4 linked regions of the Drosophila melanogaster genome follow. The protein of the gene in region 2 purifies or fractionates together with the protein of the main gene of each other region. This does not show direct contact. Each region holds a gene or a part of one and is shown on either strand. Other genes may lie near its edges. The genes, in order: CG4611, CG6701, CG10077 and Tdrd3.

The links.
Region 1: the proteins of CG6701 (region 2) and CG4611 purify together in Drosophila melanogaster (affinity purification with mass spectrometry, with the first as the bait; one large-scale study listed by BioGRID). This does not show direct contact.
Region 3: the proteins of CG6701 (region 2) and CG10077 purify together in Drosophila melanogaster (affinity purification with mass spectrometry, with the first as the bait; one large-scale study listed by BioGRID). This does not show direct contact.
Region 4: the proteins of CG6701 (region 2) and Tdrd3 purify together in Drosophila melanogaster (affinity purification with mass spectrometry, with the first as the bait; one large-scale study listed by BioGRID). This does not show direct contact.

The regions. Positions count from the first base shown.
Region 1 is NT_037436.4:5,134,663-5,139,211, forward strand, and holds CG4611 (uncharacterized protein), read left to right. Parts: upstream 1-1,713; 5' UTR 1,714-1,809; coding exon 1,810-3,630; intron 3,631-3,686; coding exon 3,687-3,977; 3' UTR 3,978-4,017; downstream 4,018-4,549. Other genes in the region: Yod1 deubiquitinase, read left to right, coding at 1-772; CG10674 (uncharacterized protein), read right to left, coding at 1,178-1,348, 1,416-1,571; Tcs5 (Threonyl-carbamoyl synthesis 5), read right to left, coding at 4,018-4,549.
Region 2 is NT_033778.4:13,974,134-13,982,092, reverse strand, and holds the start of CG6701 (uncharacterized protein), read left to right. Parts: upstream 1-1,927; 5' UTR 1,928-2,065; intron 2,066-2,149; exon of another isoform or gene 2,150-2,674; 5' UTR 2,675-2,752; coding exon 2,753-2,909; intron 2,910-2,975; coding exon 2,976-3,151; intron 3,152-4,243; coding exon 4,244-4,448; intron 4,449-4,512; coding exon 4,513-4,717; intron 4,718-4,788; coding exon 4,789-6,659; intron 6,660-6,718; coding exon 6,719-6,824; intron 6,825-6,889; coding exon 6,890-7,166; intron 7,167-7,255; coding exon 7,256-7,502; intron 7,503-7,682; coding exon 7,683-7,959. Other genes in the region: Ctf4 (chromosome transmission fidelity 4), read left to right, coding at 1-1,545.
Region 3 is NT_037436.4:6,949,875-6,957,540, reverse strand, and holds the start of CG10077 (uncharacterized protein), read left to right. Parts: upstream 1-1,636; 5' UTR 1,637-1,775; exon of another isoform or gene 1,776-1,788; intron 1,789-2,028; exon of another isoform or gene 2,029-2,044; 5' UTR 2,045-2,152; coding exon 2,153-2,160; intron 2,161-2,371; coding exon 2,372-3,768; coding exon of another isoform or gene 3,769-3,782; exon of another isoform or gene 3,783-5,737; intron 5,738-6,095; coding exon 6,096-6,274; intron 6,275-6,338; coding exon 6,339-7,211; 3' UTR 7,212-7,666. Other genes in the region: Uqcc1 (Ubiquinol-cytochrome c reductase complex assembly factor 1), read left to right, coding at 1-189, 257-538; CG9948 (uncharacterized protein), read right to left, coding at 594-1,087, 1,144-1,306.
Region 4 is NT_037436.4:14,785,046-14,790,200, reverse strand, and holds Tdrd3 (tudor domain containing 3), read right to left. Parts: upstream 3,411-5,155; 5' UTR 3,355-3,410; coding exon 3,320-3,354; intron 3,268-3,319; coding exon 3,183-3,267; intron 3,109-3,182; coding exon 988-3,108; intron 883-987; coding exon 613-882; 3' UTR 536-612; downstream 1-535. Other genes in the region: bmm (brummer), read left to right, coding at 4,123-4,282.

The sequences.
Region 1 (4,549 bases), on a different chromosome or scaffold from region 2:
TGTGCCTGGCGGCACCACCGTGGAGGATGACGAGGCGCTGGCGCGTCGTCTGCAGGCCGAGGAGGAGGCACAGCTGCTGCAGGAAACCGCTGGCGGTCCAGTCGCCCAGGCAGCAGACTACCAGCTGCCAGTGGCGCCGACGGAAAGCGGACCGAATGGCGACTTTAATGGCATACTGCTGAAGAAGGTGGTGCCGGCGGACAATTCGTGCCTCTTCACCAGCATACGATTCGTGCTCAACGGGAAGGTGGACAACGAGGGCAGCGAAATGATGCGTCACATCATTGCGCAGGAGGTGGCCGCCGATCCGCAGAGCTACAACGACGCCGTGCTGGGCAAATCGAATGCCGAGTACTGCGCCTGGATACAGAAGGCGGATTCGTGGGGCGGCGCCATCGAAGTGTCCATACTGTCCAACTACTATGGCATTGAGATCGATGTGGTGGACATACAAAACGCCATTATCAATCGCTTTGGCGAGGACAAGAACTTTGGACTGCGTGTCTTCCTGCTCTTCGATGGCATCCACTACGATCCGCTGTACATGGAGACATCGCCGAGTGCTGCGCCGGCCACCATCTTCCCGGTGGAAGAGCTGGGCGTCTATCAGCAGGCCGAGCAGTTGGCCAACGAGGCGCAGTCCTCCCGCCAATACACCAATGTGGATAAATTCACGCTGCGCTGCATGCAGTGCGATGTCAGGCTGGTCGGCCAGGTGCAGGCCCAGGAGCATGCCAAGCAAACCGGACACAAGAACTTTGGAGAGATTTAATACGTCCTGATCTTCGGCACCGTCTACATTGTGGCATTCATGCTGTTCGCCTACTACCTGCTCACCACCTAGCCACAATCGCCGTGCGAGGAGTCATCTCATTAGCAGTACTACCTCCACATCACCGCCTACCTAAGTTATTAATTATTGAATTGAGCCCAGCCGCCTGTATTCATGTTAGTCCCCTTTTAATCCCTTTCGGAATGCAATAAAATATACCTTCATCTACACTAGGCAAGTCTTGGAGTTGGTACCTATATAGCTATAAGGTCAAGTTCCAGAAAGCTGTCCTGAATTCACAAGGCAACCAACTACGTACGTACTTTTTTACTGAGCGTCGAACAAAACCGAGGCTCTCAACTGTTCAATTACATTAAATTTAAAATAGTTATCTTAGGTCCAGTGCTAGGAAGCCCATGGTGGGGTCATGGCAGCGGGATTCTGGAGGTAGGACATCACCACCGCACTGACGCTCAACATAAAGGAGGAGAGCACCTGTTTGGCATCGTCGCTGGCCCGAGAACTGGCGAAACTAATGCAGGAGCAGTACAGCGCAAACCAGGCGCACCACTTGAGCTGTGTAGGTGGGTTACATACTGATAAATGCCAAGTCACTTGGTTGTAATCTTTGGGGTGTTATTACCTTCATCATCAGTCCACACATGGAGAAAATCATGCCCAGAATGTTCATGTAATCCGGCATCATGTCCTCGTTGGCGCCGCCGCTCTGGCCCTGGTTCTTGGGCGCCTTGTAGCGGTTGATCTTCTCCTTGCGGCGCGGATCCACGGTCATGTTCATTTTTAATTTATTTAATTTTCACCAATTTAATCGAAAAACCAGGTCAGATTGCAATGGATGTTTGCGTGGAATGTGAATGCCGTGCAGGTTGCTTACGTTCTTATTTGACTGGCATTTCGGACACAAGGTGGCAACGCCCCTTCATCAGCTGTTTCTTTATTTACACCGCCGCCACACGCACGTTTAAAATAGTTTTTTTTTAATTACATAAAAATCACAGAAAATTGCAACAGATAACATGGCTCTGCGGTTGATTAGCCGTTCAATGAGCTGCCACATACGTGGCTTGCAATTAAATGCCACCGGAAGACGGTTAAATAGTTACAACATCAGCCGGCTGGTTATTCTGCCTGCAACTTGGTCTTGCTCACAAAATCGCCTGCTGCACGTGAGGATTACGGATCAACAAGCCGGTTTGGAGACCAAACGAGAGGCCAACAGGAACCAGAATCCTTTTCGCGAAGAAGTTTTTGAAGAACTTATCACAGCAGCACCCAAGGAGCACCAGAAGTTTAAGCCAGAAAAGAAACCCAAAGAGAAGTCCACCAAAAAGGTGCAGGATTTTGGTGATCCGGACACCTTTGGCGATGCCAAGGTGGCTGCAACAGAAGACCCGGGTGATGTCGAGGAAGAGGAGTTCCTTAGCAATTCCACTAGGCGCTCAAAGAAACTAAAAGCCGTGGAATACGCCCGCCAAATTAAGGACCATCTTAAGGCGAATCGCCTAAATGAGGCCATCGCCGTGCTGGAGCAACGGATGCTAAAGGAGGATCGCGCCAAGCCGGACAAGTACATATACAATCTGCTGATCAGTGGCTGTGCCAAGGCGGGCTACACCCGCAAGGCCTTCTTCCTGTACACCAAGATGCGGCAACGTGGTCTTCAAGTCACCGGAGGAACCTACACTTCGCTATTCAACGCCTGCGCCAATGCTCCCTCCGTGAGCGATGGCCTGGCCAAGGCCCAAATCCTGCGGGAGAACATGCTCGAGAAGGGCTACGAACCAAATGTGAAAAACTACAATGCCATGATCAAGGCGTATGGAAGGTGTGGCGATGTGGACACCGCCTACATGCTGGCCGACGAAATGATGGAGCGCCAGCTGGAACTGAATGCAGATACATTCAACTTTCTGCTGCAGGCGTGTGCCAGCAACTCGGAGCACGGTTTCCGGCATGCTCTGCTGACTTGGCACAACATGTTGCAGCGAGGTATTAGCCCGGACTACTACAGCTTCAATGCAATGCTGAGATGTGCAAGGGATTGTGGCTTCGGTGACTTGGATTCCATGCGAGAGGTTATCGATAAAATTGCGCCCTCAGCTGCTAGAAAGAAACCAGTTCTCCAGTTGGAGAAAGGTCAGCAAGATGATTTACCCAGTGTGGAAGCCAACACAACTACGTTGCCTGCCCAAATTGAGGTGGCCACCACAGCGAGCGAGCTGGAACTGCCCAATCTTTTGCTGCCTCAGCCGCATCTGGGCAGTCTGGTGGCCCTGGAGGAGGTGACACGTCCACACGAACGTTTCTTGCTACTCGGCGGTCTCACTGGCTTTCTGGAGCACATGAAGCAGCACAACATTACACCGGACATCGAGACATTTACCGCAATGCTGGAGGTGATACCGCCCACAAATGCTGCCGAGAAGCAGCTGCTCACGTTTGTGCGCAAGATTGGCCTCAAGGCGGACATCGACTTCTTCAACATACTGATTAAAAAGCGTTCCATGCGCTTTGATTACGAGAGTGCCAAGGAAGTGCTCCTCATGATTCGCACGGCGGGTTTGCGGCCGGACATTGTCACCTACGGTGTGCTCGCTTTGGGTTGTCGCACGCAGGAAGAGGCTAGGGAACTGCTGGAACAGATGCATGTGGCGGGCATTAAGATGAACATGCCCATACTGGGGGCCATGCTGCGGCAGGGATGTGCTAACAAATCCTTTAGCTACGTCAACGAGATCATTCAGTTGAGTCTGGAGGAGGGCCTTAAGCCAAATGAAGCCTTCCTGCGGCACCTGCACAACTTTCACAGAGGTTGTGCGCGAGCCATTGATGCCAGAGTGAGTTTATAGCTAACTTTCTGCTAGTTAAATCATTAATTGTTGTGTATATGCAGCATCCATCAACCAAGACGGCAGCCTTTAAGAAGGGCCACTCTAAGTTCTGTGATAAATACCGCCTGTACTACGAGGAGCAGGGACTGTCCGGTCTCAAGCTGGAGGACGCCATTGCCAAGGTGAAGGAGCGCCCGTATGACCAGTTCAAGCTGCCGCCTGTCAACGGAATGGAACCACTCAAGCACGAGCAGCTCAAGCACAAAACGAAACAGCGAAAGTACATCAAGAAGATCAAGATACACGAGCTGAAGGATGACCCTCCCAAAGAGTCTTTGAAGAGGATAGAATAAGCTAAAAAGTTTAACTCCCAATAAAGTTTATTATTATTCGTTAACCAATCATGGTTCTTTTGCGTCCGCGTGCTCGCACCTCCTCGAACTTGGTGAGCACTGCCTGTTCGTCCTTACCGCACGCTGTGCGATAGGCGGCCAGGACGTGCTCGAAGATATACGGCTGTTCGCTGTGCGTACTGAGTAGCGCCCGCTCCAGGACGTACAGATCCACACCCTTGTCCTCGGTGGCCTGATTGTAGTGGCTCAAGCCGAAGTCAATCAGAATGACATCGTAGTCGCCACCCTTCGGATTGATGAGGATGTTAGATGTGGTGAGATCGCCATGTATAATGTGATTGGAGTGCATTTTCCCAATGATTTCACCGATCCGCGTGCAGAACTCCAGCAGACATTTCTTGGCTTCATCCTCCGTCTGAGTGGACACTGTTTCCTGGATGAACTGCTTGGCAGTCTTGGCTGCATCGAAATATTCCATATACAGCTTGTGGGTGTTGAGGTCCGAGTGGAGGATCTTTGGTGCCAGGATTCCAGCGGCTAGACATCTTCCCGATGCCTTGGCCTCCGCTTTC
Region 2 (7,959 bases):
GCCCCGCAAATCAAGCTCTTCAAGCAGCAGACGGCCTTTCAGCCCAGTGCCACACCGGCCGATCTAGAGCATCGCTACATGGCATGGAATGATGTGGGCATTGTTACCGCCCATGTGGAGCCCTCAGGCGATAGCTCCATCGATGTGGAGTTCCACGACGCTAGTATTCACCACGCTCTACACATTAGTAACTACAATCAGCACAATTTGGCCAGTGTGAGCAGTGGAGCTTTGGCATTGGCCTCCAACGAATCCAGCAAGTTAGTAGTCATTGCTCTGGCCGCCGCCGGAAACAAAGAGTGGTCACTCAGCCTCCCGGATTGCGAGAGTGCAGAGGCTGTTGTGGCCACGCGATTTCTAGTGGCTGTGGCCACCAGCTCCAGTTTTCTGCGTATCTTCACCGTGATGGGTACACAGCGTGAGGTGCTAACCATACCAGGACCAATGGTGGCTATTGCTGGACACGAGCACAGCCTAATGGTTGTTTACCACAGTTCCGCGCCCAGTCAGACGCAGCAGCATCTCGCCGCGATGTTGGTGAACATAAATGGATTGAGTTTGCGACAAGAATATCTGCCCGTTCCGCTGACTCCAGGCCGGCAGCTCACCTGGTTTGGGTACAGCGACACCGGATCGCCGAGTATTGCCGACAACATGGGTCTGCTGCAGTTGTATCGCCGGAGCAGCAACGCCTGGTTCCCCATCTGCGACACCATGAAGCAAAGCACCAGTGTGTCGCACAACTTCTTTGTGGTCGCTGTATCCGAGAAACGTCAGATAGTCCAGGCGGTCCTGTGCCGCGGTACCTCCTATCCCATGACCAATCCGCGTCCCATGCTCCAGGAACTGCGTATGCAGATCCCGCTCTGCGACGTCGAAGTGGAAAAGTCCGAGCTGGAGGATGCACTGCTGCGGTCCAGTCTGATGCAAATGGATGGGGCAGAGAAGATGCAAAAGGAGACGGCCATCAAGCTGTTTGCATTGGCCTGCAGCAGCGAGTGCGAGACGCGAGCTAGGGAATTGATCGAATCGATTGCCTGCACTGATCTGCTTCAACTGGCCGTGAAATACGCCACGAAACGTGGACGCATCCACCTGTCCGACCGTCTGTGCGAACTGCTACCTCAATTGGAGGCGGTCCAGGAGGCACGCAAGCAGCAGACTTTGTTGGGTGCCAGCGGCATTGCGGCCACCATTGTTCTGCCAATGACTCCCACATCGGCCTCACAAAGCGGCCCAAAACCCAAGGCCATCGAGCTGAGCTCGGCCAAACGGGGCACCCTGAAGAGATTGGTCAATTCACCCAATATGTTTAAAGCAGCAGCAGCATCGGCAGCATCCCGGCCCTCGACTCCGGATATCACACCCTCTCCGCTGGACACCCAGGAAAACATATTCGGCGAATCGGAATCCGAGGTTCCCATGGGTAAAGCCACCGATCACCGGTCCCCTTTGAATTCGGTTAATCCCTTTGCTATGAAGCGCAAACTGGGCGACACTGGAGTCATCTTTGGATCCGAAAAGCTGAAGCTGGCAAAGAAATAGTCTGTTTGTAGATTGATAAGTAGGTTTAAGATAAATATATTATATAAATAATGTGTAACGTTTATCCCATTCTGTGAGCTACATGTAAAATAACAAATTTTTATTTGAGCTTTTTATGGAACAGAATTGTTAAGGATTAATTTGCTTATTTAAATTTAAAGAATAAAATATACTTTTATTTATATTAAAATGTATATTCTTTAAAAAGCGGAGGGTACAAGTTTATTTAAAATATGATCAATATATTTTTAAATATTTTAAAATTCTACAAATTAAACATTCTGGTCTCCAAAGAATACCGTTGGTATTTTTATCTTTGGAATTAAACCAACCAAATAGTGTGACCAAACTTTGTAAATGACATTAATCGATCGAAACGATCATTTTAGGCTGGATTTTCCACGACTTTCAAGTCAAAGTTATGTGTTCGTTTAATTCTATTTTGTAAATAAGTGTTACACGCTCAAATTCCAACATAAAATTACACACTCATACACATAGGAAAAAACACAATATAAAGGTTAGAAATAATAAGCAAAAAAGGTGCTAGATATATCAAAAAAATAAATATATATATTTTTTAAATAACAAACTAAATTGACAGTTACATACACGTATGTAAGTATTGCGGCAGCGAGTGCTTCCTTTTGCGTTGTTTACGAAATTCTCGCCACTGGAAGAAAGCTAAAGAACTCCGTAATGAATTTCCAGTTCCAGCGAACTGATCACCGCTATTCAGAAGGCTCTCTGCTGCAGACGCAAACACACACACAAGCAGGCAAACACACAGGGACATCGTTAAAATCTAAAGATGGAGAGACTCTATTTCCAATTTAATGTTGAATTAGTTTTCGTTGAAGCCATTTTTTAACCCAACAACTTTTTTAAGAAATCCCCGTCTGGGTAACCCGTGCATATAAAACCCAACGCTCGCGCATCACTCTCTTCATTTGTTACCTGAACGTTACGCCGTGCATTTCGATCGTCAGCTGAATAGTACATACTATATCATATATAATATTTCAACGTGTGTGTGTGTCTGCGTCTTTGCGTTTTGTTCGCGTCAAATAAGTAACTTAATTGCGATTATTCGCAACAACAATTATCGATCCTACCCTTTTTGTTTGAGTGAGTGTATTACAATAACAAAAACATAGAAAAAAACAACAGGAAAAAATCAGTACAAAATAAAGAACATCAAGCCAAAATGACAAAAAATAAAAAGAACATAATCAACAATAACAATGGCAACGCAACCCCGCCGGACTTCCCAACACCGCCACCGACGCCACCGATCAATGCCGGTATCAAACCGCCCGGCACCTACGCCAATGGAATGCCTCGCAAGCCGACGGTTCCGTGGGGTAAGCTATATACTATGTATATACTATATATGATCCATAACATCGGATCACTTTTCACGGGCACAGAGCGCGAGTTGATGGGCTCGTTTTTGCTGGAGATGGCCAGACTCCAGGTGATAAGCGCCCAAACGGAGTGGTACGTGGACAAGGCCAAAATGCGAAAACTATTCGAGGTGCACTTGAACGCCCTGCCCAACAGTAGCGAGATTCGTCAGAAGCTCAGCAGTCAGGGAGCTACGAATGTAAGTTGAATCACATTGATAATGCCTTATTGCTATCCTATTTCCTGTACAGTGAGCACTGCCAAATGAGCTTCGGTCGGGGTTGCCTTAGAAAACTAATAAATTGCATTTTGTTGGTCCGATATGTACATGTGTAGGTCATTCTTTAAAATATGAAATATAATATATTAGGATAAGTATAATCGGATACAAAATGTAAACATGCCTTAAGTTGCTCAATATTCTCGACATTGCATTGCAGACCACTCGATTTCGCTAGTCAAAGCGCGATAAGACTGATTTCGTACTGTATGTATCTATATATGTATGTATGTGGCTTTCCTTTGTCTCGCTCCAGTCCAAACATTTTCCCCGTATTATCAGAGCAACTTTACAACTATTTGCACATACATACGATCGACGTCGTGTGCGATCGCGATTTGCTCGCTTGAGTCTATGAGTCATCTGGGTTCTGGGTTTTGGGTTTCCCCTGCCGGATTATTCTTTCTTTTACACTCAGATGCGCGGAATCTTTGCTGGTACAGCAGCAATCTGATCTAAACAAACGTAATCATTTGTTTATAAATTATAAACATTAACAAATGTACATGCATATTTTGTATATGACTTTAAGTGGATTTCAACTCAACTCAATGCTGAGAGTTCAGTTTAAAAACAGAAATATTATATTGTGTCAAGATCGTATATCTATAGCTCTATTGTTGTGACATACCGCACTTATAGCGCATTGTAATTATTTATGCCGTTAAAATGAAGTACATAGTAACAAGTTTACATCTCCTGCATATGGGTTTTCCATTTCAAAGGGATCGCAACTCGTTTGGGAAAACAGCTTTAGGAAAAGAACACAAAAATTAGAAAAGGAAAATCTGTCATTGTGTATTTCTCTTTGGTGGTCGTATGGTGAAATTCGATATGTGGAGTCAAGTGATTCCCCGTTTTCATTGGTATTTCAATGCCCATACATGCATATGTGCATACATACAGTGCCTATTGCGCCAGTGCAATTTTCTGACCGTTGAGATATAACAATCCTTTTCGGCGATTGATATAAACTATAACATTCGAAATTAAATGCAACATTTTCATTAGATTGGCTCCCTGCTGCATAGGACGAACTTTCTAATCAACACGCCTCGTGGAAACCCCAACTATCGCATCAAAAACTTCTCCTTGATGGACTTTCGCAAGGAGAAGTTCAATTTGCTGGACGAACAGCACCGATTGCGGGGAATCGCCTCCACGACCGATGTGCCCGGAGGAGCACCTGCTGAGGGCAACAAACCGATAATCGAAGGTAGTCTATCCATAATTAAGAAAAAAAATATTCTCATTATGCGTGAGAGTTTTTTTGTTGGCAGAATACAAACTTGACACAGACGTAAAGCCTACGCTTCTAAAATTTCAAAAGAGGCTGCTGCTGCAGTCAGATAAAGATTTCGAACTCCAATCCCTGGGCTGCTATATCTGCCAGGAGAACTTCGAGAAAATTGAGAAGTATGAGGAGCATGTGGAGTACCATGGCGACGAGTCTGATTTTCAGTCCCTCAAAAAGATGAAGAAATAGTAAGTAAATTGAATTATATCTCTACATATGTGAAAAAGGTTAATGTACAATGAGTGCCTCCTTTCCGCAGTCCAACGCCCATTGTGTCCCTGTCCTATCAGACCTGCGTGGACAGCCACTACTTTGGATTCACCTTAAAGACCTTCCGCAAGGATCTGGTGGTGGACAAGTTCATCATAGTGCAGTTACGACAGTTTTACTACGTGTATGGTGCACAAATGCCTCTGCCGGTGAATGGGAGCGGTGAACTTGTGTTCTTCGTGGACTCTCACGTCTTCATGATCCTTCGGGAGCAGCCCATCGTTATCGGGTTCACCATTCAGGGAGAGAAATATGTGGAGCAGCATCACTTCATGCGCACGGAGGCATTGCCCAAGGCTAGCTTCAACATCAATCCCTACCGGCTGTCTAGCAAGGAGACCTTCAAGAGCAAGGGTCTTCCGCCAGCCAATCCACCCATTCAGGTGTTGAGTGCTCTAAAGCACGAGGATGCCCAGATGTGTTTGGCTAGCTTTGATAATCAATATCAGAACTACTGCGAGCGGGGCAGAGAGATTACCCAGGAAAATCTGACCGGGACACTGCGCACATTGCTCCAGGTGGAGGACATCGAACGATTGCAGCATTATCTCTCGCTCAAACAATCAGAAATGGAGCTGCATCAGTTCGGGCGGGAGCTTTCCGTGAAAATGCAAATGGGTACCACCAGTATGAGCGTGGAGGATATCTTATCGCCTGGCGACGATGTGCTAATCATAAACGAGAAGGGCAACCCGAAATCGGCTGTACGCAAGATGTTGGAAAACAACAACAACGTGCTCGAGTTGGCACTCAAGGATTTTGACTCCATCTTGCGGTGGGCTCGCAATGTTGACGGAATGGTCGGATCTCTGGACAAGCAGCCACGAGTCTACTTCGCCCGCATCCTTGGCGTCTCAACGCAGCGGGTTAACATTACTTGTGAACGCCAGTTACCGGACAACACCACCTACACCCTGATCTTCCGTCCATTGCGAGCAGTGATGCGTTATCAGTACCGAGCACTTCAGCAGCTGTCGTTCACCAGGCACAGTGATGTTCAGCGGATCCTGTTTCCCGGTGAAATTCCCAATACACCTTTGGCCAGTGGAGTACTTCAGCTAAACAACAAGTTAATTTCGACCAATCCGGAGCAAATGCAAGCGGTTCGACAGATAGCGTTGAGCCCACGTCTAAAAGCTCCCTACATCGTGTTCGGACCACCGGGAACGGGTAAGACCTCGACCATCGTCGAGGCCATCTACCAATTGTACATAAATCGACCCGAAACGCACATCCTAGTGCTGGCTGGCTCAAATACGGCTTGTGACGAGGTGGCACTGCGACTTTTAAGGGCAATCGCCAAAGCACCACAGAGCCAGCCACGACCGCTAACCCGTATCTTTAGCGCCAATTGCGATCGGCGCATTGACAATATCGACGATTTGCTTCTGGAGTACTCGAACATGTACACTGTGCACTTTTATCCGGCCGTGCAAGCGGTGCACCAATATCGGATCGTGATTTGCACACTCAGTTTAGCTGGAAAGCTGTCTACCGGTGGCTTCGCCGCGAACAATGTGTATACGCATGTGTTTGTGGACGAAGCAGCCGCTTCCACGGAGGCGGAGGTTTTGATGGGCATCACCTGCACCCTATCGCCGACGTTGAATTTGATTCTATCCGGCGACCACAAACAACTGGGACCAGTGCTCCAATCGCAGAGGGCGAACGAATGGGGTCTTGGACTGACCCTCTTCGAGCGACTGCTGCAGAGGAAGTGCTACCAAGTGGAAGAGGATGGCAGCTATAACGCATCGGTGCAGACGCGACTCATCCGCAATTTTCGTTCACATCCGGAGATAGTATCGCTCTACAACAATATGTACTACGAGGGACATCTTCGGACTGAGGCACCCATGGGTGAGCGCTTGTAGTTACCATATAGGATCCAAAAATTATAATTCGTATTCGTATTTCAGAAATTGTTTGTCGCTTCCACAACTGGTTTTACCTGCCCAATGCGACTTTTCCCATCATGTTTCATTCCGTTTTTGGCACAACGATGAACACGAAGAGCTCTGTGAGGTCTGTGCATAAAATGGTGTACAAAACCAAATCTGATATTAATACATGGGATTTCAATTTTGCAGCCTGTGCAATAATAAAGAGATTGATGTTGTCATGGATTACGTGAAGGATCTGATGTATTTCGGCCTCAATGGCGAGAAGTTATTGCAGACTGATATCGGTATCATATCGCCGTACAAGAACCAGTACCAACGTATCCAAGAGCAGCTAAACATGCGAAACTGGTCTCAAATAGATTGCGGTTCTGTCGAATTATTCCAGGGCAAGGAGAAGCATGTGATAATCGTTTCATTTGTGCGCTCCTTTACTCCCAAACTTGGATTCTTGAACAATGAACGGGTATGTATTTGTTTATAAAATAATAGAACTATTCATGAAAAAAAAAAAACATTATTCCATTAAATTAATTATATTGCACACCCGTTTAGCGGTTGAACGTTCTGCTTTCGCGGCCGATTTCGCTGCTTATTCTCATCGGAAATCCACGAACTCTAAGCCAAAACAGTGACTTCCAACATATTATCGAAATGTGCCGCAATCGTAAGACCTTGGTTGGGGAGCAATACCTTAACGAAGATTTTATTACGAATAAAAAGACTGGGGCAAACAACGTCAATAAAGGAGGAGCAGCTGGGGATCAGCCTGCATCCGGGCTAAGGCAACCGCTCAAGCGAAGTAAGTAACGCCAGCAATTTAAGTGTCGCCAGACAAAACAAGCCGATTACAATCCCATGTCGTGGATGTCGGCTCTTTTTGCATGATAATAGCTTTTAATTTGCCGATTGCTTGTTTCTCTGGCGTGATCATCCTTAAATTATATTATCTAACCTCTAACCCGCACCTTATCCCAAACAGAGAACCATGCAAAGAATCCAGTCCAGGACGCCAAGATCTTCTACAGCAAGAATGAGCTGCTTAACCTCGGGAATGAGTGTCAGCGGAAAAAATCTGAGCTCGAAACCATATTCGACGAGTTGCCGAAGGTTCCAAGGTCTGTGGACCACGATTTGGATGAAGTTCGTTCGATAGAGGCCCAACTGAAAGATTTTCAATTGGAAACCAAACAGGACGCCGCAGGAACATCGATTTTAGTTACTAATGCTCCAGTTACTAATGCTGCTGCGCCATCAGT
Region 3 (7,666 bases), on a different chromosome or scaffold from region 2:
TTTTTCCGCGACTTCAATCTGCCCAATACCTTTAACTCCTGGTTCTTGGTCACCGAACTGCATGTTTGGCTACTCCTGATGCGCTCCATGGCCGAGGGCTCCGAAACGGGCGAGGATGGACGCTTCCTGCGCAACTGCATTGTGGAGGCGATGTGGGGAGATGTTAACACACGCGCCAAGAAATTGGGAGTAGGTTTTACTTTAGTTCACCTTTATATATATAATCTTTATGCTCTTCATATGTGTTTCCCAACAGGCTCACAATCCTTCACGCACCCGTCAGCAAATCGAGACCTTATCCGAGCAGTTCCAAGCGGCCCTAATCGCCTACGACGAGGGCATCATGTCCGACGATCGGGTTTTGGCCTGCGCCTTGTGGCGCCGCTTCTTCGAGATGAACTGTGATGATTACGCGCAGATCGAGCGACTGGTGAAGTACGTCCGCCAGCAGGCCAGCATGCTGGACAGTTTGCCGCGCGATCAGTTCATTGTCAAGCCGAAAGTGGCATGGTTGGAATTGGACAAGTGCAAGGTTTAATCTTAGTTATATTCTGTTTTTTAAAAATAAAGTTTGAGAGTATGTGAACTGGAAACTAGATGCTAAGGTCCTCCACGGACTGATTACTCAAGGCACGCAGCTGGCACTTGAGCAGAAATGCTGTAATCCTTCGTTCTGCCCTTCTCCGCTGCGGTTCCTTTAGTTGGGCCAGTATTTGGTCCATCTGGAGAAAGCTGCTTCTGGGCGAGATTATTTCAGCGGGCTCTTGTTCCTCGTAGATGATTTCCTCTTGGATGATCTGTTCACTGGGCTCCTCGATGACCTCCTCGATTATGAACGTACTCGACTGCTGTGGAACATCCCCATCCTCAAAAGTGTCCCACAAAAATTGCACAGGAGTTTCCGTCTGGATGGTCGCCTCCTGTTTGTTTGTTTTGGGTTTGGTTTTCACTTTGGAGGGCGGCTGGATCTCGGCCAAAAATCGCAGGCGTTCCAGGTACGGCCAGGTGGATCCACTGGTGTCCGCGCGGCGAAACTCCTTGCGAAACTGATAGTGCAGATTGTTCCAGCGCATCAGGCAGAAGTCCACTAAGAGGATTATAACTTTAAATATATATATCTTATTCTTTTATTAGCTGACTTACCATCACAGCCCATCATCTCGGCTATGCGAGCCCAGATATCGGTTTTCGCCTTCATGGCATCGTAGTTCGAGAGTCCAGATCTCTTATAGAGCACAGGATTGGGTTCCACCAGATCAATTAGCTTGAAGTCGAAAGGTCTGTTTTTCTTGTAACTGGTGCGCATGGCTACCAAATTGAATTAAACTAGCTTGAACTTGATAATTAAGAATCCCTTGCTTGAGCCATGTTTATTTACCTTATGAAGTACAGCAGAGCTACGATTAAGCGAAAACCATTTGGCACGTATTGTATGTCATAATTGCGGGCTTAAGATACTTAACAAATGAAGGGAAATTACATAATAATAAATTATATTTTAACTGCATTATTAGAACCTTGTTTATTAGTTATTACTTTACAGATAGAAATTTACAGGTTAACTACATTGAGCGATCACTGTAATATTCCAATTTATGTCCACACTTTGGTTTTTGGGTCGTTCTATAGGCTGGTCACATTTTTCTTGCTGACCATTATTATCGAAGTTGCTTTACCCGATAGGTTCCAGACAAACAATATCAGACGTCTTTGTTTTGCTTAAAAAATTAATAGTTCTTATTGTTAATTACCGGTGCCGCATTAAAAAAATACTGGTTAGACAACGAAGTAACTACAAACTAGCAACCATAGTGCTCTAAAGTGCTCTTAATAGTGTTCCATATTCTTTTCAGTTATTATTTTTATTTAATTTGTTATTATTAGAAACGTTCACAATAATTATTTATATATTAAAAGTTTCCTACTAACAAATATTTTGACATTTTTCCCTATTCGTTGTGATCGTTTCTAGAAAATTCAATCGATGTTTCCAGAAAACCTAACCTATCGAACCAATCGATATTAACACCGATTTTTTCCACAGCTCTATTGACGACGTAGAAGCTGAAAAAATTGTGGAGTGAAAAATTGTAAAAGTGACCGAAAAAACTATACTTTGGCCAGCTATATTTCCACTTACATCACACCAGCAATGAACATGTGAGTATTGAAACACAGGCACACATTTTTTAAGCCCAAATTTCGGTTTAGCATGCGGCCAGGGGCCGAGTGTCGAAAATCAATAAATTCAAAATGGCAGTAAAAAATGAAAATTACATAAAAAAAGGTCGCTTCGTGTAAATTTCAACATTTTGGCAACGCATTAAAGGGCTCAAAATTCTAATTTTATGGCACAAAACGCTCGTCGCAGGTACAACGGACAGATGAACGCCTTCGGAGGCGGTGGCGGCGGAGGAGCTGGTGGCCTAGCCGGCGGTATGGTGCCCAATCGCATGGGCGGTGGTGCTCCCGGTGGCGGACCCGGCGGAGCGGGCATGTTCCAGCGCAATCGCTCGGCCCCATACCCAGGTTTCAATGGTCATGGACCCGCCAACGGTGGACAGCGACGCATGAACGGTGGTGGTCCTAGCATGGGACCCGGCGGACCACGCAACCAGGATGGATTCGGTGGTCAGAACGGGGGCCAGCGCTCTTCCAATCATGGCGCTCACTTGCCCAAGATCGTTTGGTCTGAGGTGAATCTTACGCCATTCCGCAAGAACTTTTACAAGCCGTGCGATTCGGTGCTGGCCAGGACTGTCGGTGAAACAGAGACCTTCCTCACCAGCAATGAGATCACCATCAAGGGCGATCAGGTGCCCACACCCAGTATTGAATTCGAGGAGGGCGGCTTTCCCGATTACGTGATGAACGAGATCCGTAAGCAGGGTTTCGCCAAGCCAACGGCCATTCAAGCCCAGGGTTGGCCCATTGCTATGAGTGGACGGGATCTGGTGGGCGTGGCCCAGACCGGATCGGGCAAGACCTTGGCGTATGTTCTGCCGGCGGTGGTGCACATCAATAACCAGCCGCGCCTGGAGCGCGGTGATGGACCCATCGCCCTGGTCCTGGCTCCCACTAGAGAGTTGGCCCAGCAGATCCAGCAGGTAGCCATTGAGTTTGGCAGCAACACGCATGTGCGCAACACTTGCATCTTTGGTGGAGCGCCCAAGGGACAGCAGGCTAGGGATTTGGAGCGCGGCGTGGAGATTGTAATTGCCACACCAGGTCGCCTAATTGATTTCCTCGAGCGCGGCACCACCTCGTTGAAGAGATGCACCTATCTGGTGCTTGACGAGGCCGATCGTATGCTCGACATGGGCTTCGAGCCCCAGATCAGAAAGATCATGCAGCAGATCCGACCGGACCGTCAGGTACTCATGTGGTCAGCTACCTGGCCCAAAGAGGTGCGCCAGCTGGCCGAGGAATTCCTTAATAACTACATACAGGTGAACATTGGTTCGCTTTCGCTGAGCGCCAATCACAACATCCTCCAGATCGTGGACGTGTGCGATGAGAATGAGAAATTGATGAAGCTGATCAAGCTGCTAACAGACATCTCGGCGGAGAACGAGACCAAGACCATCATTTTCGTGGAAACCAAGAAGCGTGTGGACGAGATCACGCGCAATATCTCCCGCCAGGGCTGGCGCGCATGCGCCATCCACGGCGATAAGTCGCAGCAGGAGCGCGACTTTGTGCTCTCGAGCTTCCGCAATGGCCGGCACTCGATACTGGTGGCCACCGATGTGGCTGCCCGCGGACTCGGTGAGTATACGTAGCCTTTGTGGGGCCCTAAATGGGGCCAACTTTCGTTTTTTCTCTCCGTAACCAAGCAATTGTTGCCTGTGGATCAATCAGCATCCCGTGGGGTTTCATTCATTATTTTGTGATTCGTCGTCGACGCCTTCCTGGTTCGTCTGGTCTCAGCGATCCGTCAGCGATGAATCGGCCAACACCGCCCAGCCTCTTCGCTCTTCCTTCCGCTCTGTTTCCAGAACTTTGGAGGTTTTTCGTTTCGGGTCTGTTCCGGATTTCACAAGCTATTCACGATTTGAAGCTGAAAGCGCATGATTCCCATTTTGGGGTCCATTGATGGAATCTTCGCTTGCTTCAGTGTGTAAATAATACTCATAGTTTTTTGTTTGTATTCATTTTAATTTAATTAAGCTGGGTAAACAGTAGCCTAATCTAAGAGCTCTAGCGCAAATCTTCGCCTAGCTGTGTTCGAAATTAACTGGGGTTAGATATGGGGGTTAAATATTTGTAAACAAATTTTTATTTTATGTTATATTTTAAATGAAGTTTTGGGTAGCTATGCGGAGTTAAATGAGCTCATTACTGGTTACCATCTATCAAAGAATGTTATTTGGTAAACGTGAAAACCGGAAAGGACCGCTTGTATTTTTTTTTTAAATTGCATGTTCAAATCTGTAGGCAGCCGAAAAATTGTCATTTATTATTTTTCAATCATTTTCGAGTGGTTCGATGCCGGGTGGACCATTAAGTCTAACTTATTGAACCCTTTAGTTTGCTGAATGATTCTACGAATCCGAAGAAAAGGTGTGGGCTCAAATAATGAGGGGAATGTGTTTGTTCTCCATGCATTGCTGGTTATATGATGTTGTTACTTTTAGTTCGTTTGTTGCTCTCTTGCTCATAGTTTTTAGTTGTGTCTCGTCAATCACATTTTGAGTAACTTAATTGTAAAAAAGCGATTTACTGTCAGTCAAGGAGTCAATGGCCAGCAAAATAATCTTAAAACAAAAAACCCAAACTAAAGAGTAATCTCAGTGCACCCAAAAGAAATTAACCTTTAATCCAAAGCGATTAAACCGTGCCTTAACTATAACTATATATATATATCTTAAGTTTTTTTTTTATTTAGTTTCTAGAACAATGTGAAGTAACTAATGTGTTGAGTAACATTTGCAACATTTTGCGGCCCAAGTATTTGTTGACTGATGATAATTTTCTGTAGCTTATTTATGTATCATAAAGTACCTAGTATACTATATTACGTCGCTCCTTACTCTATGTATAATACCTAAATTTGTGTGTGAACAAAAATATCATCAGCACTTTATGAAATGGACTTCGATTTTTCAAATGGCAAAACTAGACAAAAAAGAAAAAAACCCGTTCAAAGTTAAAAAGTTATATACACAAAGCAGTTAAAGAGAAAAGCTATATATACAAGTTGAGGGTTGAGTTATAAGTTTCTAGCATTGCGGAGATCCGTGGGATCTCCATCATCACGGCCCAGTTGCGAGGACACCATCTCCAGGGACTCTTATTCGTAAGCCTAATTCTAATCCCATATTCTAACCCTAGATCGCCAGGGTAAGTACTAGGCTAATTTATTTCTTCCTAATCATAGCAATATGCCCGCATCCTCGTTCCCCCTTCCCTTCCATCGAAGTATGTTCCTCCTTTTAAACCAAATCAGCACCCTTCTATCATAAGCTTTGATCATTCATTCACATTTATGTACATCTCTTATTTATAATGTTAATTTTAATCAAGCCGTCTCTTGTATGCATTAAGCTTAAACATTTATATTACGATTTGTGTATTCAAAAATGATATAAAAGAAAGTATGATGAGAAGAAAAGGTCGAGGTCCACATTTCTGCAGTATAAAAAGAACATATGTCTATTTGCCAAAGATGTATTGTTATTAATATACGCTAATAGTATTGATGGCGAAATTTTTGTTCAAAGTACAAAACCATACCAAAAAAAAAAAATTTAAATTTAAACCGATCTAACACCAACCGACAAAATCCATTCGACAATTCGATCAAAAATGTATTTTAAGTTCTATTAACAAACTTAACAAGAAAAACAAATGATCGCACCGACACAAACAACCACTAATACCAATACCATGACATGAAAACACACACCAAGACAGAAACGGACACCACTCACACAAGCACACAAATAAGTTTTTTGTTTTTGTTAAATAGTTTCTTGAGTATTGAGAAAGATTCCTATTTTCGACGCATTGCTTCGATTTGATAATTTTAACGCTTCTTTTCACATTCTTCAATTTTCAAATTCGAAATGAAAAATATTATTGAAATCAAACAGACGTTGACGATGTCAAGTTTGTGATCAACTACGATTATCCTTCGAACTCGGAGGACTACGTTCATCGCATTGGACGCACCGGACGATCCAATAACACCGGCACCGCCTACACCCTGTTTACGCATTCCAACGCCAACAAGGCCAACGACTTGATCCAGGTGCTGCGCGAGGCCAACCAGGTGAGTGCTCCTCGTAGCTTTCAATCCTTTCGATGGCAAATTTACTCACCTCCTCCGTTTGCAGACCATCAATCCCAAACTGATGAACATGGCCATGAACGGTGGCTACAACAAGCGCGGTGGCGGCATGGGTGGCGGCTACCGTGGCGGCAATGGCTATCAGGGCCGCAATCCCCAGATGGGCGGTGGATACAATGGCGGCAACAACTACCGCAACAACAATGGTCCCGGCGCCACCATGAATCGCAACTCCTTTAACGGCGGCAGCGCTGGCGGACCACCACGCTTCGATCAGAAGCCGCGCACTTCTCCGCCGAATCAGGGCGGACAGGGCGGCTACCGTGGCCAGGGAGGCGGTGGCTACCAGGGACAACAGCAGCAGCAGCAGCAGCAGAACGGCGGAGTGCCCTTCTCTCGTTTCAATCCCAATGCTGCTTGCTTCGAGCCCAACAAGCCGCAGAATGGTCCGGGATCTGGACCGCCACAGGCGCAGCACCAGCAGCAGCAACAGGCTCAGGCTGCCCAGCAGCAACACCTACTTCCTGATGCATCCGTGCAGGCGGCGATGACGGCTGCAAACTACGGAGTTGATCAGAAGCGCTCCCGTTTCTCGCCCTACAACATGAACTTTGCCAACATGCCACCACCAGCGATGAACCAGCAGCAGGCGGCGGCGGCCCAGCAGCAACAGCAACAACAGTTGCAAACTCCCCAGCAGCAACAGCAGCAGCAGCAAATGCAACAGCCACAGGCCTATGGCCAGTACTCTTCAATGTCCTCCAGCATGGCAACCGTGTCGCTCAACGGAGGAGCTGCAGCGGTGGCCAGCTCTTACCGCGCCCCGTACGCAGTGCCCACGCAGGCGGCACCCTATATGATGGCGAACGGCGGCGACATCTTTGCCTATCCGCCGCCTCCGCTGCCTGTGCAGAACTAGAGGCCCTGCGGTTCGATAGAGGCTACCAGATTGTAGACCAGCTCTACTGTAATTTCCTTTCCCCACACGAACATTACACGCACATCCGCACACCCACCCGTATTAATTGTACACAAGTCACGATCACAAGTCCAGAGACTTCAGAGGGAAGATGTTAGATGAGCGTCGGTGATGTACGTATCGTGTAGATCTCCTCCGCCCACATCATAGCTATATAATATGGTTTAATCTGGAATCAAATACGCTTTTAATTTGATTAATCTCTTTGTTCCCCCCAAAACAAAACAAAACAAAACAAAAACCCCACATTTAGTTGATAAGCTTTTGGTTTAGTCAAATTGTTAGGGCATTCGAGTGCCGATCATCGATGTTGTTGGCATTTATCTTTCCAGAGCCCTGGGCGTATTTGATTTCTTTATACAATTCTCGAATATTGTACGTATCTATTCATACAC
Region 4 (5,155 bases), on a different chromosome or scaffold from region 2:
TGCTCAGCAAGCAAAATTTACTGCGCTGAACCCTTTCCAGCGCGTTTATGGCAAGTCAGCCAGCCAGCTGTACACTTGCTGGCCAATTTGTGCGTACATTTCGGGCTTTTGCACTCTTTTTGCGTTACCTTTGCACTAAATCCTATTGTTTGTACACTACGGACTAATTCTATTTTACATGGTTAAGCACAAAACTATGAGAGAAAATGCACATCACGTCGAAAAATGTTAAAAATAAGTTATGTATGTATGAGGGAAAATTCGCGAAATGCACCAGTGCTGAGCAGCGGCGCGAAATAGTGCTGAACATGTCGCGCAGAAATCAGGGACAATCGATAGTACTGCGCCAGGAATTAATCGAATTCGAATAATGTTTACAAAGAAATGTTAATTACTAAATTATTAAATAAAACTTTGCTTAATTCAATTTTTCACGTTATAGGAGATATATTCACTTAATAGGTAAGACGTAATCAACAGTACGCTTTAAATTATATGAAAGTCAGCAGATTACAAAATACGTACTCATAGTTTTAATATTCTGTAAAGTTGTTTATTCGAAACATGTTAATTGATTTAAATACGTTGTTAACAGGCTGTTACCATGTTGTCTCAATGCTCTCGTTTGTGGGGCGGCACGTAGACTTGCTGCTGCTGCGTCTGACGATCTCCGCGGTAGCGTGAATGTTGCTGCTGCTGTAGATGCGGTTGCTGTTGCTGCAGATGCGGTTGCTGCTGCTGCGCTGAGTTGCTCAGTGGCCTGTTTTGGGCATCGGTGATGGGCAGGATGTCGACCTTCAATACCTCCTCATGGTTTCCATAGCCCATAAAGAAGACCACGCAAGTTTTCTCCGACACGCCCGTGATCTCAGCCTCATAATACTGGAAAATAAAGAAGGAATGATAAGTTAAGTTCAATAGATCAATTTGAATACTTTGTCCTACTACAATTACGAATGTACTTTCAGTTTATCGACCTAAACTCACCCTTCCATCGTCCCAATACTTGGCCATGCACAAGTCGCCCTTCTGCCACATCCACGCATCGCCTGGCACCATGCCGAACTGATCCCGTGGCGCAGCCTGTGGCACAGCCACTGGAGCAGGTTGCGCACGGGAAACAGGAGCGGAAACGGGGCCAAAGGACATGGGTGGCGATTCCTGCTGTTCCTCCTCCTGTTGTTTTTCGTTGGGCAGTGTAACACCCTGGCTCTTTAGAAGGTTCATGGCAAACTCGTTGGCCTCCTTGCTCTGGAAACCCATGATCTTGCTGGGATCGTAAGTGTAGCCATTCGCCAATTGACTGTAGTTCGCCTGCGAATTGTGCCTGGGATTGTGATGCTTTTGGTTGGTTTGAGCCTTCTCTGGCTTCTGCGAATGCAACTGTGCTGGCTGCTGCTGCTGCGTTGTTTCTGTGCCCGATCCCGCCAGGCGATTGGCTTGTCCTCCTTGCTTACGTCGATTCTCTCGCTTTGGCGCACTGCTCACCTTGAGATTAGCTGTTTCCTCGGTTATCTTACTCAAACGGGCGTTGAAATCATCGCCAGCACTATTTGTCGATTTCGCTGCAGAACTCGCCGAAGTTAAGCTTGCTGCCGGCTTGTTTCGTCTGTTGCCATTGGCGTTGCCGTTCTCTGCTCGATTGGAGCCTCCACGATTGCTGCCTCGTTCGCTGCCACGTCGGTTGCCAGTGTGGTCCTTCCCATTGGTTGTTTCATGATCTGGCTTAATCTCGGAATTCGGTTTCAACGATACGTTATCCGAGCCATTGCGATTTGCGGTTTTTACGGTTGGCGTTTCTGGTTTGTAACGTCCAGCTGCACGATCATTGAACGCTCCTCGCTCTCGCGGTGGTCTCTCCTCTTTCGGCGGTTTTTCTTCCCTCGGAGGCCTGTCTTCCCTGTAGGCTCGCTCCTCTCTTGGTGGCCTTTCGTCCCTGCCGCCACCCCGGTTACGGCCACCGCCTCGCGACGAACCCACATGTCCACCACGATGTGCGGCAAAGCTGCTCGATACGTTGTTCTCAAACCTAGAACGATCTGCAAACTTGCCGCCTCCGCCCATAGCTGAAGGTTTGCTCTCGGAATCGCTGAAGCGCGAGCTTCCATATTGCTTAAATGGATTGAAGTGATTGGTAGTGGGTGGGGCAGTCGGAGCGGCAGTTGGAGCGGCAGCGAAGGTTTCTGCATTACTAGCGGCCGGTGTTTCCTTGGCGGGCAGTTTATTGGTTAGGAAATCAAACAGCGTGGTGTTGGCAGCCGGCTTGGGTGCTTCAACTTCGTCCTTGGCGCTAGCTCCACGCTTTCCCTCTCTGGGCGGACGATCTCCGCGTCCCGGACGACCCACGGATTCGATCGGACCCACACCGCCAGCTTCACTGCGTCTTTTTAGATTGTATAGGGCGCGCTCCAAGTTGTTTCGGGTAGCAGATAAGGCACTGCGGGCCTCCTCCTCGCTGAAGCCCTTGTCTAGGATCTTCTTAACATTGTGATCGATAATGTTCTGGCCACCGCCGCCAAAGATCTTCTTGCCGCCGGCCTTGGTGGCCACGGCAATGGCCTCTGTGCGCATGGCATTGAACTCTTCGTTCTCCTTTGCCGGCTTGTCCTTGTCGCCCTCGCCCAGGCTCTTAAAGTTCATTTCGCTTTCGGCGTTGCTATCGATTTTTCGGCCAAATGCCACCCACGGGGGTGGCGCTGATGTCCCATTCAAGGGGCGCCCACTGCGCGCATATCTCATCATGGTCCTGGCCAGATCCCATTTCTCGTAGAGTGCATCCACACGGCCGCCGAGCAGCTGAATTTCACTGGACTTTAGCAGCAGGAATCCCTGCATAAGCTGCAGTTTCTCGGCCTTGAAATAGATCTTGCTTCCGGGAGCCACATTGAGATTCAGTTGGGGAACTGGCTCCAGCTCCAAGGCCTTTATGGAATTCTGCCCATCACTCAGATCCAACTGAAGGAGGCGTGGCGCCGCCTTCGATTCCTCATTCGCCTTGGGAGCGGCAATATTTCGCACACGCTGAACCTGCAGCACAATTTTACCGGGCAAAGTGGCATCTTCGCGTTTCGCGGGCAGTGCGCCACCGCCAATATCGCGCAGATCTCGCTGCAAAGTGTGAGTAATAGGTTATAATTAATAATTACACAGAATGCTGAGCAGCCGGTTCGCCTACAACTCACATTCAGTGCATCATTGACTATTTTCCGGACATCCTCGCTGCCGACGGCTGTTGTCACGATTTTAAGGCCCTCCTCTGTCAGGTACCTGCGTAAATCGTTAAGAAGCATTGTATGCCACAATTTAAAATTGTACTTACCACCCGACTTCTCGTAGTTTCTTGCCTAATTCCATTTTTTCATGAAGACGATTTTTTTGCAACTCCGGACTAGGGATGACAAAAGTATTAGATGTGTGTACTCGCTAGTGATGTGCTTGGCGGCAACTATCGGCTGACGGTGCATACTATTATCGTTTAAGTTTAGGTTGTTTAGTAATATTAAATGCTTTCTTAAAATCTAAAAATTTTAATATTTCTTGCACACTTATTCAAATTAAATATAATATATATATTATGTCCCAAGAGATAATGTCAAAATTGGGTGCAACACATATACTAGCATATATATTTTTGATAGATGTACTTATATATCGATAATTAAATTTTATCAGTTATAAAGAATTGGCATTATAAATCGATTTAAAGTCGTAATATCTACATGTTTAGAACAAACAAAAGAGTACCCTATACGCACAGCCACTCTAATGACAGTTCTAGTTTAGGTGGTAAAGCGAATAAAATGCGGTCACACCGCGCCGCAATGAATGTATAAAAGGGGGCTGCCATCCGCAGAGCGAGTAAATAACGGTTCGCGAGCAACAACTTTTCATTTCGAGAGCGGAGTAATTTTTCCAGCCGACCGACAAACAGTGATTGAAAACCCAAACGAGATTTATTTCGAAACGCGACAAGAAATTGTTACATCAAAGGAGCTGCAACGACTAAAATCCGCGAAGAAAGTGCGAGAAAATACCTTAAAGAGAGAAAAAACCAGTGACGCAGTAGCAACAACAACAAACAGTCATCGAACGATTTATAGAATCTAACGCCGAGTCCAAAGCATGAATCTATCATTCGCTGGCTGCGGATTCCTGGGCATCTACCACGTCGGAGTGGCCGTCTGCTTCAAGAAGTATGCACCGCATCTGTTGCTGGAGAAGATCGGAGGCGCTTCGGCCGGTTCCCTGGCCGCCTGCTGTCTCCTCTGCGATTTGCCATTGGGTAAGTCTCTTCCCACTTGCTTACATGGGTGGGTCTAGAGAGGGAAGCTTTCGGAATCATTAAGATCTGCCAACTATATGATAGCGATTCTCCAAGGCGAAACAAAAATAAATTTTTTATTTTGCTTTGCATAAATCTTAATTTGTTAAGTTTCTTGTTTCTTTTCACACTCCGCGTCTGAACTTGGCCTTTGCACAATGTTTTCTGCTTGGGAAAACCCCTGTGAATATTTTCTGCACCCCTCTGGTGTTTTCTCTACTGCTCTCCCCTCTTCGTGCAGAATGCACACACACGAACACACTCACACTTGCGTTCGCAAAACAGCTGAGTGCAAAAGCAACCACACTGGGCAGTTCAGTGACTCTGTGAGTGGGAGTGAGAAAGAGAGCGAGTGGGAGTGGGAGAGCGCGAAAGATGCTGCGAGGCTCAATATAAAACGCATTGAATTGAATTTTATTGATAAGCTTGTTTGCGTTTGTAGGTCGCTAGGAAGTCAATGGGGATCTTTCATAATTGACTGCGATAGTGTGTGTGTGTTTTTGGGCGTGTTTGTCCAATTTCGAAGGGGGCTCGTCCCATCCGCTCAAAAGAAAACTGCGGCGCAGTTGAAAAACCTTACGAAAACAGAAAAACAAGTTTCGTATGCCCGGGACAACGCACTTTTGTAAAGCGGCACCCGAATATATGGGCAAATGGTTGGGCACAGCGGTGGGTATATGAATAGCAACGCAGTCCGAAAACATTTCATCAAATACTTTTGCAAAGAGAATAAACTAAATACTTATGCTATGAGATTAGCCAGAAACTTTATAAATCTAAATTGAAGATAAAATCACTCACAGCATATCTTATCTTCAATTGCCAATATTAAAT